2 linked regions of the Rattus norvegicus genome follow. The protein of the gene in region 2 binds, or shares a complex with, the protein of the main gene of each other region. Links are inferred from orthologs where the notes say so. Each region holds a gene or a part of one and is shown on either strand. Other genes may lie near its edges.

Region 1 (3,892 bases), on a different chromosome or scaffold from region 2:
TGGTTAGTCAGTGGAAAACAACTGTACTCCAGGGAACAACGCATCTCCTTCGCCTGAGGAACACACACACACACACACACACACACACACACGAGACAATGACTGTGAAACCAAGAATATGTTCCTGCCTGCAGTCTGTCTGTCTGAAGGAGATGTCACCTTTCATCTTGCAATGAAGGATCAGAATGAACTGAATGACTGTTGTTAAAAGCCTGCGAGTGGAGGTTCTACCACAAGTAGAGCCTTTAGCCTTCTGTGTCAGACTCATGAAGCCACTCGCAGAAGCAGGAAGTTACAGACAGGAAGGCTCTGCAGGAGTTTTAACTGGACTATTTTTAAGGCTCCATGTGAACAGCCCTCATCCACTCCAGATTGTTATTTACAAAGCACTTTGTTTTTTAAAATATCTCGATCACAGAAAGTACAAGATTTAGAAGGCATAGGACATGATTCAAAGGGTTTCTGTTTTATACCTGCCTTAATACAGACAAATAGAATCAGCCTTTCCAACGAGCCCAACCCTGGAAGCAGCCTCAGTCCATACGCAGGCTCCTGGTCTGTGCTCTGAAGGTTGTGTTGGGATTTTAACTGAAAATATTTGACACTGTTTGGACTGTGTTTGTTCATGTGTGTGACTAGAGTCAGGTACACACAGGATGGAGCTAAACCTGGGAAGAAGCCATTCTTTAAACACAGCAACACTAGGGAGGGTCCGTCTACAGACTAAATGACAGTCTTGGGGGAAGAAAGTGGGTGTTTAAGAATGTAACCAAAGAGATGTATCATGAATCAGGTTGTCAGAGGTGATTTGGGGACAAACGAATTCCCATTCAGACAGTGCGGTGTCTGAACTTTTATGTTCAACATAATGGTCAAGTGTGAGGGGAAAGGCAGGGTGCTCTGGAATTTTGGCAAGAATGCTGATCATGGCTTTTGTTTTGTAACATTTTCAAGTTAAGCTTGGCAAAAAGGGACATGTGAGCTTCGCTGCAAGCCCTGGTGTGCTGTTACAGGAGCACACGTCACAGTGGGAACAAATGGACAGTCTTATAGTCACATTTTGTCTCGTCTTCCAAAGTGAAATCAAGTCTTCAAAAATTGTTCTAGACCATTTAAATTTCAATAGCACCCATTCTTAAAATATTCTGAAAATTGAGTTAAATTTGTTTTGGAGGGTGTGTCAATTCACCAGATTGTTTCTTCAATTTTGCATTCCCAGGAACATATTTTGGAAAAAAAAACCCCACAAAATCTCCCAAACAAAAACGTCATGGAAAGTTCTTAATAAATTGTATTAGGTAATCAACTATGAATTCTGTGTATATGAGAAAGTTTCTGAGAGCTGAGTCTGTTTATTCAAATGTTTCTCTTTTATCTTTGTGAAGAGACTATTTAATAATGACATGTAAAGAATGAAAGTTTAAATATCATTCTTGTGTGAAAACAAAGCATACAATTAAATCAGTCCTTTGCTAATTTTTTTCCCCCAGTAGTGGGAGAGTTCCTTTGACTTTAAACTTTCAAGACAGGCAGATTGTATTTGCTACATATTTTTAAATTATACTAATCATTATCCGTCAAATGTGACATAATCCCATTAATGACTTTCAAAACAGGATGATGTCAGTGACAGGGCAATGCTATTGGAATTCTACTCGGCTGATTCTGAATTCTTAGCAAACTTAGGATACAATCAGTAATATGCTTTAGATGAGCTACAATTAGTGCTGGGCTTTAGATAACAGTCTGTGATAGTTCAAAGGAATTTCCCCAAGACCTGGAAATTAAATATTAAGTCATGCACACAGCAGCGTATTTGTTCTGTCTCAAGGAGTCTAAAAGATACTGGAGCAGCATCTTTGGCACTCACACAGACACACCGGATGGCTGCTAGGTGTGGGGGACACCGCCTATGAGGACTGCTAGCTGAGAGAAGCCCCAGGGAGAAACATGTCAAGGGATTGGGAAGGAGCTCCGCTCACACTTCAGAACGCTGAGTTAGTATTTGGGTTATCTCTCCACCACTCCGCTGCATAATTTTATCATGAGGAAGACTCAACCTCGTGCATGAAAACTAAAGTCAAGGTTAAAGTAATCTTCTAGCTGAGTACAGCGCTGGCATCTGAAGAAGCCCCTCCTGAGAACCTGCTCCGCTGTGACTACTGGGACAGGTGACAATGTCCCGTCACCTGACGGGGGAAATACATCATGGAACATTTAAGAAAGAATGCTTTAAGGAACACCGCGGCAGCGGCTAAGTGCTGGGACTGTGGAGCGCCCTGGGCAGGCGGGAGAGGCGGCAAGTCTGGCTGATGTTTGCCCTTCAGCTGACATACGTGAGAGGTGCAGCGGCAGAATTGCTAGGAAACATGGTCACCTCCTCGGGGTTCCTCTGCGAAGATCCCAGAGCCGGCTTAAAGGCACAGGCTCAGGACTGCCCAGAAAGCAAACTTCCCCGCACAAGTTCCCGGTCTTTCCTCCGCATCCCACCCTGGGATACCGTGCAGTGTTACTGGGGGACGTAAACGCCTGGGTCATGGTGCCCCTGTCACTTGTTGAGTTGGGCGAGGGCATCTCTGGACCCAGGAACTTGGGGAGCACTGGCTGTTCAGTCGACCTGCTGAGGGAGGTCTCTTACCTGCATGTGTCCCTGGTACATTCTGCTCCAGCGTCGTCAGGGCTCCCGAGGCCGATGACTGCTTTCCCGAGCTGGCTCGTAGGGAGTTGCAGGTCGGGCAGCGGGCGCGGGCTCTCCGCCGGGCGCCCCGGCTGTGGGTTACAGAAGCAGGCGGGCGAGAGGGCGGCTGGGCGAGCGGCGCGCTGCGGAGCTGTCCTCCACGCGGGTGCTGAGCGCGCGCGGGCACGGGGACGCGGGGCCGGGCTCTCCGCGGGCGCAGTGCCGCTCGCCGCGCCTCTCCAACTCGCCGGTCCTGTGCCCCACTCTCCTCGCCTTTCACGAGGCTGCAGCGTCCCCTCCCGCCTCCGTCCGGACGCCAGCCCGCGCCAGCCGCCGCCGCAGCTGCCGAGCGCAGGGCGCGCGCCGCCCTCCGGGCCGCGTCGCCGCCGAGAGCCGCTGGCCCGGCGCGCGCGCTCTCGTGGAGCCGGGGGCGGGAGGGCGGCTCCAGCGAGCGCGCTCCCGGACGGTGCTCTGCTTGCTCTCCCTGGTGGCTCATAGAAGGAGGAGTAGATCCTGGGGGAGAGAGAGAGCTGCCCAGGCCTGGAACCACGGACTTTCCAATGCATTGTTGGCGACTCCGAGGCCCGGGACTGACCACCATCTGGAAGAAAAGTGGGAGAGAGAAGGTAGTCTTTCTCAGAGAGGTTACAGAGAGTGTGTCCTGCAGACAATAGGCCACGTCTAGGGGCTTGGAAGAGTTTGTAAGCTGATTGGGCTCCAAGGAGTTACCTATGCATTCCACTTCCAGTTACCTCTGATCATACTCCTTAAAAATCACACACTTCCCCCCCAGAATTAAAAGCACTCCGAATCCGGTGTAGTTGTTGTCTATCTCCCTTAACCTTACTTCCATGACATCAGGAATCTCTGTGCATTAGCATAGCCCAGCACAGCACAGCCCATCTGACAGGTGGTAGGTATCCAACAAATATTTGCTGAAGGAGTGTCCTGTTCCACAGATTGAAATACGTAGGCGGAGTGTTTAAATAGGTCCTGGGTTGAAAAGACTGCATAGTATGTTTGTCCTCCTGCATGTACACACTAGCAGCAAGGTAGGTGGTTACAGAGCCCCAACCTCTCAGTAACTTTTCTTAAAGCTAGAAGTATGAGAATGCAAACTCCCTAAGATTTGTGTTCCTAAGATTCTGTGATCAGGGAAACTTCACAGTGTTCAGAGTGTGGGCAAGAGTTGGGGGAAGGCAAGGGGTCTGTTCA
Region 2 (3,813 bases):
GCCGTGCCTCTACTTCCCCACCCCTCTTAGACAGCCTGGCAGTAGCTCACCTATGCGGTCCAGGCGGTCAATGGCCACGGTCTCAAAGGCACGCCGCATCATGGGGTACTCCTCCAGCACCTCGTTGAAGTTGTCCACGCTCAGTGAGTAGAGGCGACAGTAGGTGTCAGCCCGCACACTGGCTGTGCGCCGGCCCCTCGTGAGCAGGCAGATCTCTGTAAAAACAAGGATGGTGCCTCAGCAGCCTGCCCAGCCCACGCTCAAAGCTCACCCGACGCTGGGTCAAACCTCCCCGGGTCTGAGCTGTCCACAGTCCCACCCCATCCAGATCTCAGCCTTGCCGTAGGGGGCTCACCCCCAAAATAGGAGCCATCTGACAGCTTCATCTCCTTGTTGCCCTTGGTGAGCACGCTCACCACCCCGTGCTGGATGAAGTACATCTTCTTCCCGATGGTCCCCTCTCGGATGATGTAGTCTCCAGGCTGGAAGACCTCAAATTTGAGCTTTGTCAGCATGGCGGTGACGAAGTTGGGGTCTGCGTTGGCAAACAACGGCATGGAAGCCACCAGCTTCCGGCAGTTGAAGTTCACAATCTCCTGTGGGTGGAAGGGAGGGTGGCGAAGTCACTGGCTTGGTACCTCAGACCCTCACTCTCCCCTGGGCTACTTGGTGGCCCCTCAGCCCCTATCTAACTTCCTAGGCAGACGCTGGAGGCAGGACTGGGAAATGAGCTTAAGGCATACGGGAAAAAGTCCCGAGTCCCTATACCGCCATAGGGTGAGTGACACTGGAATGGAGAAAGCCGTTATAGCGAACAGGACCACAGAAAATACCCCACAGGCTTAATGGCAGGACCAGAGCTCAGTGCGTAGAGCTCTTTCTTGGCATGCCCTGAGTTCCATCCCCAGCATGGCATAAACCAGGTCATACAAGCCTGTCATCACAGTCCTCTGGAGGCGGAGGCAGGAGGATCACCCTCAAGGTCACCCTCGCCACCTATCTAGTGACATTCTAGGACATCCTGAGCTACATGAGCTTCACCTCCAAAGAGAAAGAATTCCACTCCACATGCTACCTCTGGCCTCTTAGATGGGGTGTCCTTTCTTTCTGCCTCATTTACCCAATGCAGTTCCCAGCCAGGGTGCACCATGCTTGTGTTTTTAAACGGCTGAATCTAGTCAAGGTCACTGCCAAAAGCATATGCAAAACCCAACAAGAAACCCATGGACAATGAGGCCAGCCTCCTCGACCCTCCCAAGGAGAAGGGAGTCAGAGGGACACACAAAGTGTGATCATGCAAGCCGGGCTGGGTAGCCACTGCACTTGGGAGGCTGAAGCAGGAGAACTGCCACGAATCACCCTGTGCTGTAGAATGAAACGTCTCAAAAATGGAAAAGAACGGCGGGAGAGATGGCTACTCTTGAAACTAGAGGACCTAGTTTCAATTCTTAGCAGCCACATGGCTGATGAATCTGTAACGCCAATCCCAGGGAGTCCAATGCCCTCTTCTGGCTGCTGCTGGTACTGCATGCTGGTACTGGGGCAGAGACAGACATTCAGGCAAATCACTCGATGTAAAATGAAAAAAAGATGTTTTAAAAAGAAATGTTGGGGCTGGGGATTTAGCTCAGTGGTAGAGCGCTTACCTAGGAAGCGCAAGGCCCTGGGTTCGGTCCCCAGCTCCGAAAAAAAAAAAAAGAACCAAAAAAAAATAAAAAGAAATGTTTCCTTGGGGCTGGTGATAAAGTTATAGAATTGGAGATGTATGTCTCTTCTACAAACCTGTGTACTTCATGCAGCTAAGGCCTGTGAGCTACATTATCTACAAAAGGACAAGTGAGATTAACAGTCTGTTTAATTCTGTTGACTTTCTCCAAGACCATTAACCAAAGGCTACCAACTGGGATGTCCACACACAGCCCTGGGCCCCAAGCCCTGAGTCCCCCATGGCTCTGCACAGGTGCCTGGCCTCCCAGCCCTGGCAGCCTCCTCCTGTAATTCTACCCCGGGGGCTTTTGCCCTGACTCTGCCCTCTGCCTGGGCCCTAGACATCAGGCCTTCCCTTCAGTGTTCTACACTCAGCCCTGAGCACCACACCATTGTCCCCCAATTGCTGGCCACACCTCCCCGGCTGACAGAGCCCCAGAACCTGTGGATGGGACTGTATTTGGAAATGAAGGGTTATACAGATGAAGCCCAGCCTTAGTGGGCATTTTGTGAGCCCTGCAAGCATCCTCAAGACATGTTAAAAAGCCAAGGGCGCCAGTGTATGCTTGGTGTCCCAGGCCTTGGAATGCACAGATGATCCCTGGGGCATGATCCCTCGCTGAATGGCTGAGCTCCAGGACAGAGAGACTCTGTCTAAAAGAAGGTGGACAGTGGGCTGGAGAGATGGCTCAGCGGTTAAGAGCACTGACTGCTCTTCCAGAGGTCCTGAGTTCAATTCCCAGCAACCACATGGTGGCTCACAACCGTCTGTAATGAGATCCGATGCCCTCTGATGCCCTCCTCTGGTGAGTCTGAAGACAGCAACAGTGTACTCATATATAATAAATAAATAATAAATAAATCTTAAAAGAAGGTGAACAGTGCCCTCTCAAGGGCAAAACTCAAGGTTATCTTCCAGCTCAGTGCACATGTGCACTTGGACACACGCATGTGTGCATTTTTTTTGGGGGGGGGTTCTTTTTTTTGGAGCTAGGGACCGAACTCAGGGCCTTGCGCTTCCTAGGTAAGCGCTCTACCACTGAGCTAAATCCCCAACCCCACATGTGTGCATTTAAAGACAGGGCTGGATTGGCTGCTTAGGGGTTAGCAGTGTTTGCTGTTCAATCATTAAGACAGGGTTTGGGTCCAATATCTGGTGGCACACAGTGTATGTAAGTCCAGCTCTAATGGAGCAGACACTGTCTTTCTGGTCTCTGTGAGCACCTGCACACACTTGTGGAGACACAGACACGTGCACACACACACACACACACGCACACACACACACACACACACACACACACACACACACACGTGTGTCAAATAAAGCGGGGCTAGAGAGACAGTTCGATTCCTAGCACCCACACGGGGATTCACAGCTTCAGGGATCCAATATTCTCTTCTGGCCTCTACAGTCACCATGTTCATGCCTGGTGCATAGACACACATGCAAGCAAGGCACCCACACATGTGCAATAAGAAAGGGGCTGGAGACACAGGAAGGACCCTCCCCCACGATCTCGGAGGGAGCGTGGCTGCACAGATGTGTCTTTCATGACCATAGCTTTGTGTCTGAGGCTCACAGGGGAGCAGGTGATGGCCAGGGAGGTGCGGGAGACACGGCCAGGAATAGACACGCCCAGACCTGACCCTGGGTCCCACACGTGCCCCATCAGTTTGTCCACAGACCCTGGGCACGGTTGCATGTGCAGCACGCTGGGATGTGCCTGAGACTCCCCAGGTCCTGTGGCTGTCCGTGGGCACCTCACCTCACGCAGTGGGCCGTTGAGTTCCCCCAGGATGCTGTCCTCGTCAAACATCTTCCCCTGGTACCGGTGTTCATAGTAATCGTGGATCTTCTGGCGGAAGTCAGCCGGCAGTTTGTGGAAGGACATGTACTGCTCCACTTGCTTGTACTGAAGGGAGAAAAAGTGGATCAGTGGTCAGTGATGGTCAGACAGGTCCAGCCCGATGCCACCCAGCCCAGGGACACACTGCTTTACACAGCCTGGCCCCTGACACAGGGTTTCACGTAGTCCAGGCCGGCTTTAAAGTAGCCAAGGATAACCTTACACTTCCCATCCTGCCTCTGCCTCTAGGTGCTGG

The links.
Region 1: the proteins of Hcn2 (region 2) and Pex5l are in contact, whole or in part, in a crystal structure (PDB 4EQF), measured with the Mus musculus proteins. The link is inferred for Rattus norvegicus from reciprocal best matches to the Homo sapiens genes HCN2 and PEX5L. Residues at the interface, in NP_032252.1 of Mus musculus: Leu859, Ser860, Ser861, Asn862, Leu863; in NP_001156988.1 of Mus musculus: Glu315, Glu317, Val343, Asn347, His426, Asn453, Arg454, Ala457, Thr458, Ala460, Asn461, Tyr472, Arg484, Tyr487, Asn488, Ile491, Ile494, Ile537.

What each region holds. Positions count from the first base shown.
Region 1 is NC_086020.1:117,833,644-117,837,535, forward strand, and holds the start of Pex5l (PEX5-related protein), read right to left. Parts: upstream 3,043-3,892; 5' UTR 2,660-3,042; coding exon 2,639-2,659; intron 1-2,638. UniProt on the Homo sapiens protein: Accessory subunit of hyperpolarization-activated cyclic nucleotide-gated (HCN) channels, regulating their cell-surface expression and cyclic nucleotide dependence.
Region 2 is NC_086025.1:10,622,345-10,626,157, forward strand, and holds part of Hcn2 (potassium/sodium hyperpolarization-activated cyclic nucleotide-gated channel 2), read right to left. Parts: intron 3,624-3,813; coding exon 3,477-3,623; intron 597-3,476; coding exon 356-596; intron 216-355; coding exon 51-215; intron 1-50. UniProt on the Homo sapiens protein: Hyperpolarization-activated ion channel that is permeable to sodium and potassium ions. Displays lower selectivity for K(+) over Na(+) ions. Contributes to the native pacemaker currents in heart (If) and in neurons (Ih).